Linked DNA regions of Danio rerio. The protein of the gene in region 1 interacts with the protein of each later gene in a biochemical or structural test. Links are inferred from orthologs where the notes say so. Each region holds a gene or a part of one and is shown in the gene's direction. Other genes may lie near its edges. The genes, in order: rasgrp3 and prkcba.

Region 1 (4,475 bases):
ATCTCTGACAGACATTTTTGAGTATTTTTACAGTACTGTTAAATACAACCCACATAGCAAACTATCTCTGACCCAGCTTAGGGCCACACAATCAGCTTTTGCTTGGTCCAGATGCCACAGTGAATTACGGTACATGATAGGACCAAGTCTGGCTTCCAGACAAGGGCCAAACATGGACCATATCTGGGCCTAGTCAATAACCCATCACTGAGCCTGAACTGGGCCAGATATGTTGGTGTCTTGACTGCAATGAAATTGATAAACCCATGAATCATTGCACTCAAGGCGTGCTTTTTCTTGAAGCGACTTGATTGGTAGAATCTTTTTTCTTTATTTGAAAATAATACAAATGTATTTTAAATGTGGGTCAAGATAAGCTAAACGTACATGGCCCACATATCATTTATCAACATCTGGGCCAAATACTACATTTTACATCTGGCCCAAGTATTGCGTGCCACCTTAAAGACGGTGCCACCTCTGCCAAACCTGGGCCATGTTTGGCCCACATGCTGTATGACAGTGCCGGATGAATGCCTGCTGTGCCAGATTTATGTCAAATCTGGGCCAGAATTCTTTGCCACCTAAGAAGCCTAAATAAAAAAAGGGTTTCACTATTTTGGCGAGGTTAATATTTGCCTTAAATTGCTCCTATTTGGTAGCCTACTAAATTGGCTTTGTGTTTATGTTAAAATAATTTTCACATCAGCCATTTTTTTGTTAAAATAATGTGTCCATCAGCCAATCAGAATCAAGCATTAAACAGCCCTATTCATTCATTTATTCATTTCGTTCATTTTCTTTTCAGCTTAGTCCCTTTATTAATCAAGGGTTGCGTAAAATGAACCACCAACTTATCCAGCATTTGTTTTATACAGTGGATGCCATTCCAGTTGCAACCCAGCACTGGGAAAAACCCATACAGTCTTGCATTCACACCCACACGCTACGGCCAATTTAGTTTATTCAATTCATCTACACTGCATGTCTTTGGACTGTGGGGTAAACTGGAGCACCTGTAAATTCCACACAGAAATGCCAACTGATCCGAGGCTTAAACCAGCAGCATTCTTGCTCCTTGCGAAAGCGCTACCCACTGTGCCACTATGTCGCCCAAAAGCCCATATTATAAGTGAATAACATTTCATGTCTAAAGGAAGATTTATTTGTTAAAATGATTATATTTTTGTGCTTCTTTAAGCTCCAAATACTGCAAGAGACCATCCAAAAAAGGAACAATAAAACAAACACGTTTAACAGCTGAGATAAATGTTAATAAGTAATATTTCAGTTAATAAATAATTAACTGAAAGCCTGCACTATAGCATACCTTGATGTATGCAGTAGCACTTAAATATTCTATTTCATTTATTTACCATGTTATTACAATCCAGCAGGGGTTGCCTTTGCTTTCTGCTATGTTATTATCGTCTGTAATTAATGTACTGGAGCTGCATGTGTGTGTGTGAGAGAGAGAGAGAAAGAAAGAGAGAGAGGGGTGGAGGAGGAAGAAAGGTACAGAATGATTGATTGATGGAGCTGAAAGAGACGGAGTGAAGGGAGGTGAGGGGTGGGACTGAGTGTGAGTGTAGGAGGAGGGCCAGAGAGAGCGGAGGGAGGAGAGCGGCAGCATGCATCTGTGTGGGGTCAGTATCACATGCTCGGCTCTTGCACACCACACTCTTGTTGATTGTGTGCGCTTTGATCTCACTGAACAGTGCATCTGACGTGCAGTTTATACTTTCTGTCTTTCTTTCTTGTTCAGAGAAACATTTACTTACAGAGAAGTATGCTGCATTATTCACATCTGTCCTGAGTGTGAAGATATCCACAATAAGGTAAGACCTCTTTTACTTGATCACATAAGAGATTCTCACTCCTAATTAAAGCCAGTGGTTTGTTTAGTGGTTACATAAAATTACTGTCAAACTATGGCATGCTAGATGTTGTCAGTTGGGTCAGTTTTACACAGTGAAATGTGTGGTTTAAAGCCAGACGGTGTTACTGTGATCAGCTGAAGAGTACAGAAGGACAATTTACACTCTTAACGCAAACATGTTGCAGCTTGAGAGATTTTTGATAGAGGAATTTGAAGGTCAGAAGTTTTTTTTGTTGTTGTTGTTGTTGGTGTTGTATCGTTTTTAGTTGTCTGGTGTGTTATGCCATGTTTGTGTGGTGATAATAGGATAGGAGGCAGTGGGGAAAACACTGATATTCATCTGTTTGTTCTGACGACCTTAGTGTCAGTTAGATGTTACAGTAGGTCAGTCTGACCATCATGTTGTGCAGAGAATTGAGATAAAGTTGGTTTTACATTTATGCATTAAGACTTTCTTCTTAATAATATAATTTCACAAAAGTATTCACTGCATATTCCAAATATTAAAAACAGCAAATATTTTGCCAATTACATAGTGCTAATGTAGTTTTAAAGTCATAATTACATGTTATTTTATTTTAATTGTTTAAATTACCATACAAACAATATAGAGAGCTGTCACTGAATGAATGTACAAATATAAAACCAACTTTACCCTAGTGTGCAGAGATTGTGTGTTATGGATACATTTGTGATTTCAATTGATTTACATTTGTTTTTGTGTACTTTATATTGTCATAAACATATATTACTATGTGTGTATATATATATATATATATATATATATATATATATATATATATATATATATATATATATATATATATATATATATATATATACACACACACACACACACACACACACACACACATACAATTATATATATGCAACTTACAATAAATTAATATAATTATTATACAATATATTACAATATGAATACACTGTTATATATTGTTTAAAGTACAAAACAAATATGTTTTTTTTGTCATTTGAGTTTCTACACATTCTTTTTTAAACACTATTGAATATTATTTATATTTGGGTTACAGCTGGATGTAACAATAAAAAAAATCATATGCATGTTCATTGGTTTGGTCCTTAATATTGTAAGCAGTTTTATTTACTCATGATTTTTGGCAATGTGTGAACAACCGATAACAAATTCCCAAAAAGTTATTCCTTTAATGTTTGTCAAATCTTACTGACAGTTTTTTTGTTTAATTGTTTTTGTCTGAAGGACTCAGGATTCCAAGAAATTCTGAAGTTTGTGGATATAATGCTTGGTTCCGTGACCTCTTCTATGTTGTATGAAACATGAAACAAATGCTACAGTTATCAGTATAATGCTAAAAAAAACTATTCTGGACTGTAACACATGTGGCATGCCAAGAAAATGGATTGATTCAAAGTCTGTTGTATTTAATATACACACATATAACTGAACTGCCATAACAGTGCAACTTTACCTACCTCATCTGTTGATATGATGGCGGGCCATTGCAGAGCTTGTTGCCAGAACTTTCTCTTCTATGTTCACTTTAAGTTGGTACAAAAAGGGGGCTCCCTTTTGTTCCTGGAAGGTTTTAAAAGAACTTACAGAGAACATTAGCAAATGATTCTTGTTTAGTTCCTAAAACATAACTCAATGGCAATCACATAAGAACATTATAGCAACATACAGTGTTTCCTGGGGCTCTTGTACTTCTACACAATTAAAAAAACACCTTTGCAGTATATTAAGTATACAGTATGATGCACTACTTGTTTACTTCAAACTTAAACACCTCCTTTGCACATTATCTTGCACAATATTGTTCCGTCTTATGTAAAAATACTTGTAAAGTCTGTCTTAGGTTGTGCGTATAGTGAAGTATTAATACTATATGTTTAGTTAGTAGTTAGTTAGATTAACACTTGTTAGTTATGTTTAGGCTTTGAAAATAGCTCCTACATCTTGTGTAGTATTCATATGTATGATTATGTTTATTTATCTAGCACCGTGGTCCTGCGAGACTCTACACTTTGTGGCACTGTATGTTCACACATGTAGCGGACTGACAATAAAGCTTAGCTTGACTTGACTTTACCTGATTTGCGCATTATGTTCAGTCTTGAGCATGAGCACAAGCAATAAGTCTGTGGCTGCAGTTGCTAAACACACTATCAATGTCACCAATAACTAGAGTTGTGTCTCAAATGACGCTATACACTATTGTGTGTAGTGTATGAGTTTAGGTTTGAACACTAACATTTTGCTACTAACCAGAAATTCAAACCATTTCAAGACGATGTTTAACAATTGCTAACTTCCTGAAATTGATAAGCAAAATAACAATGGAGCCTACAGTATCATGAGTCCATCCAGCATAAGGATCATCATTTGGAGAAATTTATTTGCACAATCCAAAATAAATAAAGTAATCCAACGTCAACGCTCTAAAGCTCCTCCCCTTCTGCTATGTGAGCCAAAGCTGTGACCAATGAGAACATTCTATATGCTTAATTCTGTTGGTTGAATTAGTACAACATCTTAGCTTTTTAAGGGTGCTTATTATTTTGGGATTTGGTGTGTGTGTGTGTGAATGCATTACTA
Region 2 (3,831 bases), on another chromosome or scaffold:
AAAAGTTTGTGATCTGTGAAAGCTCATTTCTGCCATGGTATCAAGAAAATTCTAATATTTTGTTTTCCTCTTTAGCCTCCTTTTGATGGTGAGGATGAAGATGAGCTGTTCCAGTCCATCATGGAGCATCACGTGTCTTACCCCAAATCCATGTCCAAAGAAGCAGTCGCCATATGCAAGGGGGTACGAGTTGCACAAGCTTCATACACTCTTGTCTACTCTCGCACACACTAATAGAGCTTTTGTGTTTGCAGCTGATGACCAAGCATCCCGGTAAACGTCTGGGCTGTGGACTGGAGGGCGAACGGGACATTAAAGAGCATGCTTTCTTCCGTTTCGTGGACTGGGAAAGACTGCAAAACAAGGAAGTTCAACCTCCATACAAACCCAAATCTGTAAGTAAAAATGCAGCTACGTGTGTGTGTAAGTGTTTATCTGGTTACTGCACCACACACATCAATAAAAGCGCAGTGGTGTTGTTTTTGCACTTTCTCTAGTATATACACTTACCGGCCACTTTATTAGGTACATCTGTCCAACTGCTAGTTGACGCAAATATCTAATTAGCCAATCACATGGTAGCAACTCGATGTATTTAGGCATGTAAACATGGTCAAGACGACCTGCTGCAGTTTAAACTGTGCATCAGAAGAAAGATTATTTAAGTGACTTTGAATGTGGCATGGTTGTTGGTGGCAGAGGGGCTGGTCTGAGTATTTCAGAAACTGCAGATCTACTGGGATTCAGAGAGAATGGTCTGAAAATGAGAAAATATCCAGTGAGCAGCAGTTCTGTGGGTGCAAATGCATTACTGATGCCAGAGGTCAGAGGAGAATGGGCAGACTGTTTGGAGCTGATAGAAAGGCGACAGTAACTCAAATAACCACTCGTTACAACCCAAGGTATGAGGAAGAGAACTCTGAACGCACAACAAGACAACCTTGAGGTAGATTGGCTACAGCAGCAGATGACCACACCTGGTGCCACTCCTGTCAGCTAAGAACAGGAAACTGAGGCTACAATTCACACAGGCTCACCAAAATTGGACAATAGAAGATTGGAGAAACGTTGCCAGGTCTGATGAGTCTTCATTTCTGCTGCAACATTCGGATGGTGGGGACAGAATTAGACATCAGCAACATGAAAGCATGGATCCATCCTGCTTTGTATCAGCGGTTCAGGCTGCTGGGGGTGCAATGGTGTGGGGTATATTTTCTTGGCACAATTTGGGCTCATTAGTACCACTTGAGCATCGTGTAGACACCACAGCCTGCCTGAGTATTGTTGCTGACCATGTCCATCCCTTTATGACCACAGTGTACCCATCTTCTACTACCAGCAGAATAACAAGCCATGCCATAATGCACGAATCATCTCAGACTGGTTTACTGAATATGTCAATGAGTTCACTGTACTCAAGTGGCCTCCACAGTCACCAGATTTCAATCCAATAGAGCACCTTTGGGATGTGGTATAACTGGAGATTCGCATCATGGATGTGCTGCTGACAAATCTGCAGCAACTATGATGCTATCATGTCAATATGTTGCAAAATGTCTGAGGAATATTTCCAGTATCTTGTTGAATTTATGCCATGGAGGATTAAGGCAGTTTTGAAGGCAAAAGTGGGTTCAACTCCGTACTAGTAAAGTGTACCTAATAAAGTGGCCGTTGAGTGTATTTTACCTGCAGTGATGAAGCACATTTTGTTATTTACGGGGCTAATTTTCAGAGATGTTTTTGTGACAAAGGTGCCTGCTCAGGAAATAAAACAACTCTTCTTGCTCTGCTCTTAAACCACAAAAAATCATGTAAACACAGATGTGTGAAGTGAGGCAATGGTTTGCTTTCACATTCAGAGACACAAATACTATTGAAAAGGCTTTTTTTAAGTGTTGTTTGGTGCGGTCTCACCCTAAAATAAAAAGTTTCAGACATTAAAGCCACACCGGAAGGGTATAAATGGCACTTTTTTTTCATGTTCTGTTGAAATTCTTGATTCTGATTGGCTGGAAAGTGTGCAGTAAAATCATGTAATGCACAGGTTTTTCCAGTCAGTTTTGATCACAGTAGAAGTAACCCTAGCAACTAGTAGTGACCCTAGCAACCCAGTAACAGTTGCCAGAGCCCAATTCATGCGTGCATCACCAGGGAGCTGATGTTGATCAACAAACTCACCAAAACGCTCAAAAATATTTGAGATTCAATATAAATACACTATATTTAGCAAAGAGGTAGATAACATTTGTAACTATGAGCTGTTTCAAGAGTTCACACTTAGATATTGCTTGACGCTATTAGCAGGTTTGGCATGCTGTCCTGGGAGAGAACCCTGAGCTTGGAGATAATTGAGCTCAGGGTTCTCGCCAGGTCTTTTAGCATGTAAGAGGGTCGGAGATCAGGTAGGGCTCGAGAGCTCCCCATAGTAAAGAAGGAAAAGAAGGAGATGGCGTGGAAGGGAAGGGAAGATTCTTCCAAAACAAAGATAGTTGGCTTAGATCAATCCGATTGGATTATTACCGATTATTATAAATGAGAGACCAGCCGCGATCAATCGTATCATGTGCTCCTATCGAAATAAGTTTAAAAACTTCACTAAATATGCCAGTATCATTTACACACAAACTCTTTCGGTCTGCCTGACATTGATTTAAACGGGATTAGGAGATAACTGAACTGAACTGATGTAAAAATGATCAAATATTGCAATGCAAAGAACAGAGCTAGTTTTAACTTCAGTGCTTAATTTGTAAATGAATAATTTCCGGAACAAAACCAGGTAAAAGTTACCGTGATCGATGTCCCCCACACATTTTCAGTTTTCCCAGAACATGACATCACTAAACAGTTATAGCGGGGATAAAAGCATCAAATTTCGGAACGATCTTTAATTATTTTGTGTCATTTAAGGTTATGGGTCAACCATGGATAAAAAACAAACATGTAACAAGCGTACAAACTTAAATCTTATGAAATGTCACTATTCAGTTTACTAACACCAATGGCATTCGGTTCATTTCACTTTTATGTGGCCTCTTTGGCATTTTGAAAATACAAATATTATTTAGGTAGGCCACTATGCCATTATTTATTTTCGTTGCTTATTGCGCACGAAACAATAAAAGCCAACCAATGAGACTGATTGTAAACCAAGAAAGCTGATTGGTCGAAAATATTGTTGTGGGCCAATAGTTAAACGTGACTTCTGCTTTAACTTGGGCATGCGGATTTTAAATGCGTCACGTGGTTCTTTATCTCCATGCGCATTTAAAAATCTTTTAGCAAATGAAAATTTGTTGATTTCTTTATTCATTTACTATTAAAAAAACTGAGATGAAACAATCTAATATAGAACCAACACCAACTGGCTGCCATGTGAGGATATTTGTGGAAAACAGTGTTGTGTAACACAGGCTATTTATCTGTGTTGGTGGACATCTCAGGTTAGTCAACGAATGCATGTGATTGGTAAAGCGCAACAACAGTTTCAACACTGGAAGCACGCAATTGCACTTATTAACCACCTGAGAAACTTGCATAGTTTTGCTTCAAAGTCGCCATGAAAGGGAGGTTATTTGTCATTTTTTTCTGCCATCGTGGCGTACATCCACTTGAAACAGTCCTACAATGAGTATAAAATGCATGCAGGTGCATGATTTTGTTCTTTGGGAACTGATTAAATTATTGAAAGAAGGGTTTTGCTAACAAAATGAAGGAAGACTGACGAATGGGGGCGAATTCAGACTAGAAATGAGACTCCTATTGATAGCCATTCCCTAAAGGAACTCCATGTGACCAGAAGTGAAAAGTCATTTCGAGAGTGGAGGGAAG

What was found.
Region 2: of the proteins of rasgrp3 (region 1) and prkcba, one has a biochemical effect on the other in vitro, tested with the Homo sapiens proteins (2 studies listed by BioGRID). The link is inferred for Danio rerio from reciprocal best matches to the Homo sapiens genes RASGRP3 and PRKCB.

The regions. Positions count from the first base shown.
Region 1 is NC_133192.1:24,445,308-24,449,782, forward strand, and holds the start of rasgrp3 (ras guanyl-releasing protein 3), read left to right. Parts: upstream 1-1,596; 5' UTR 1,597-1,646; intron 1,647-1,649; exon of another isoform or gene 1,650-1,765; 5' UTR 1,766-1,838; intron 1,839-4,475. UniProt on the Homo sapiens protein: Guanine nucleotide exchange factor (GEF) for Ras and Rap1.
Region 2 is NC_133176.1:10,486,597-10,490,427, forward strand, and holds part of prkcba (protein kinase C, beta a), read left to right. Parts: intron 1-75; coding exon 76-183; intron 184-254; coding exon 255-395; intron 396-3,831. UniProt on the Homo sapiens protein: Calcium-activated, phospholipid- and diacylglycerol (DAG)-dependent serine/threonine-protein kinase involved in various cellular processes such as regulation of the B-cell receptor (BCR) signalosome, oxidative stress-induced apoptosis, androgen receptor-dependent transcription regulation, insulin signaling and endothelial cells proliferation.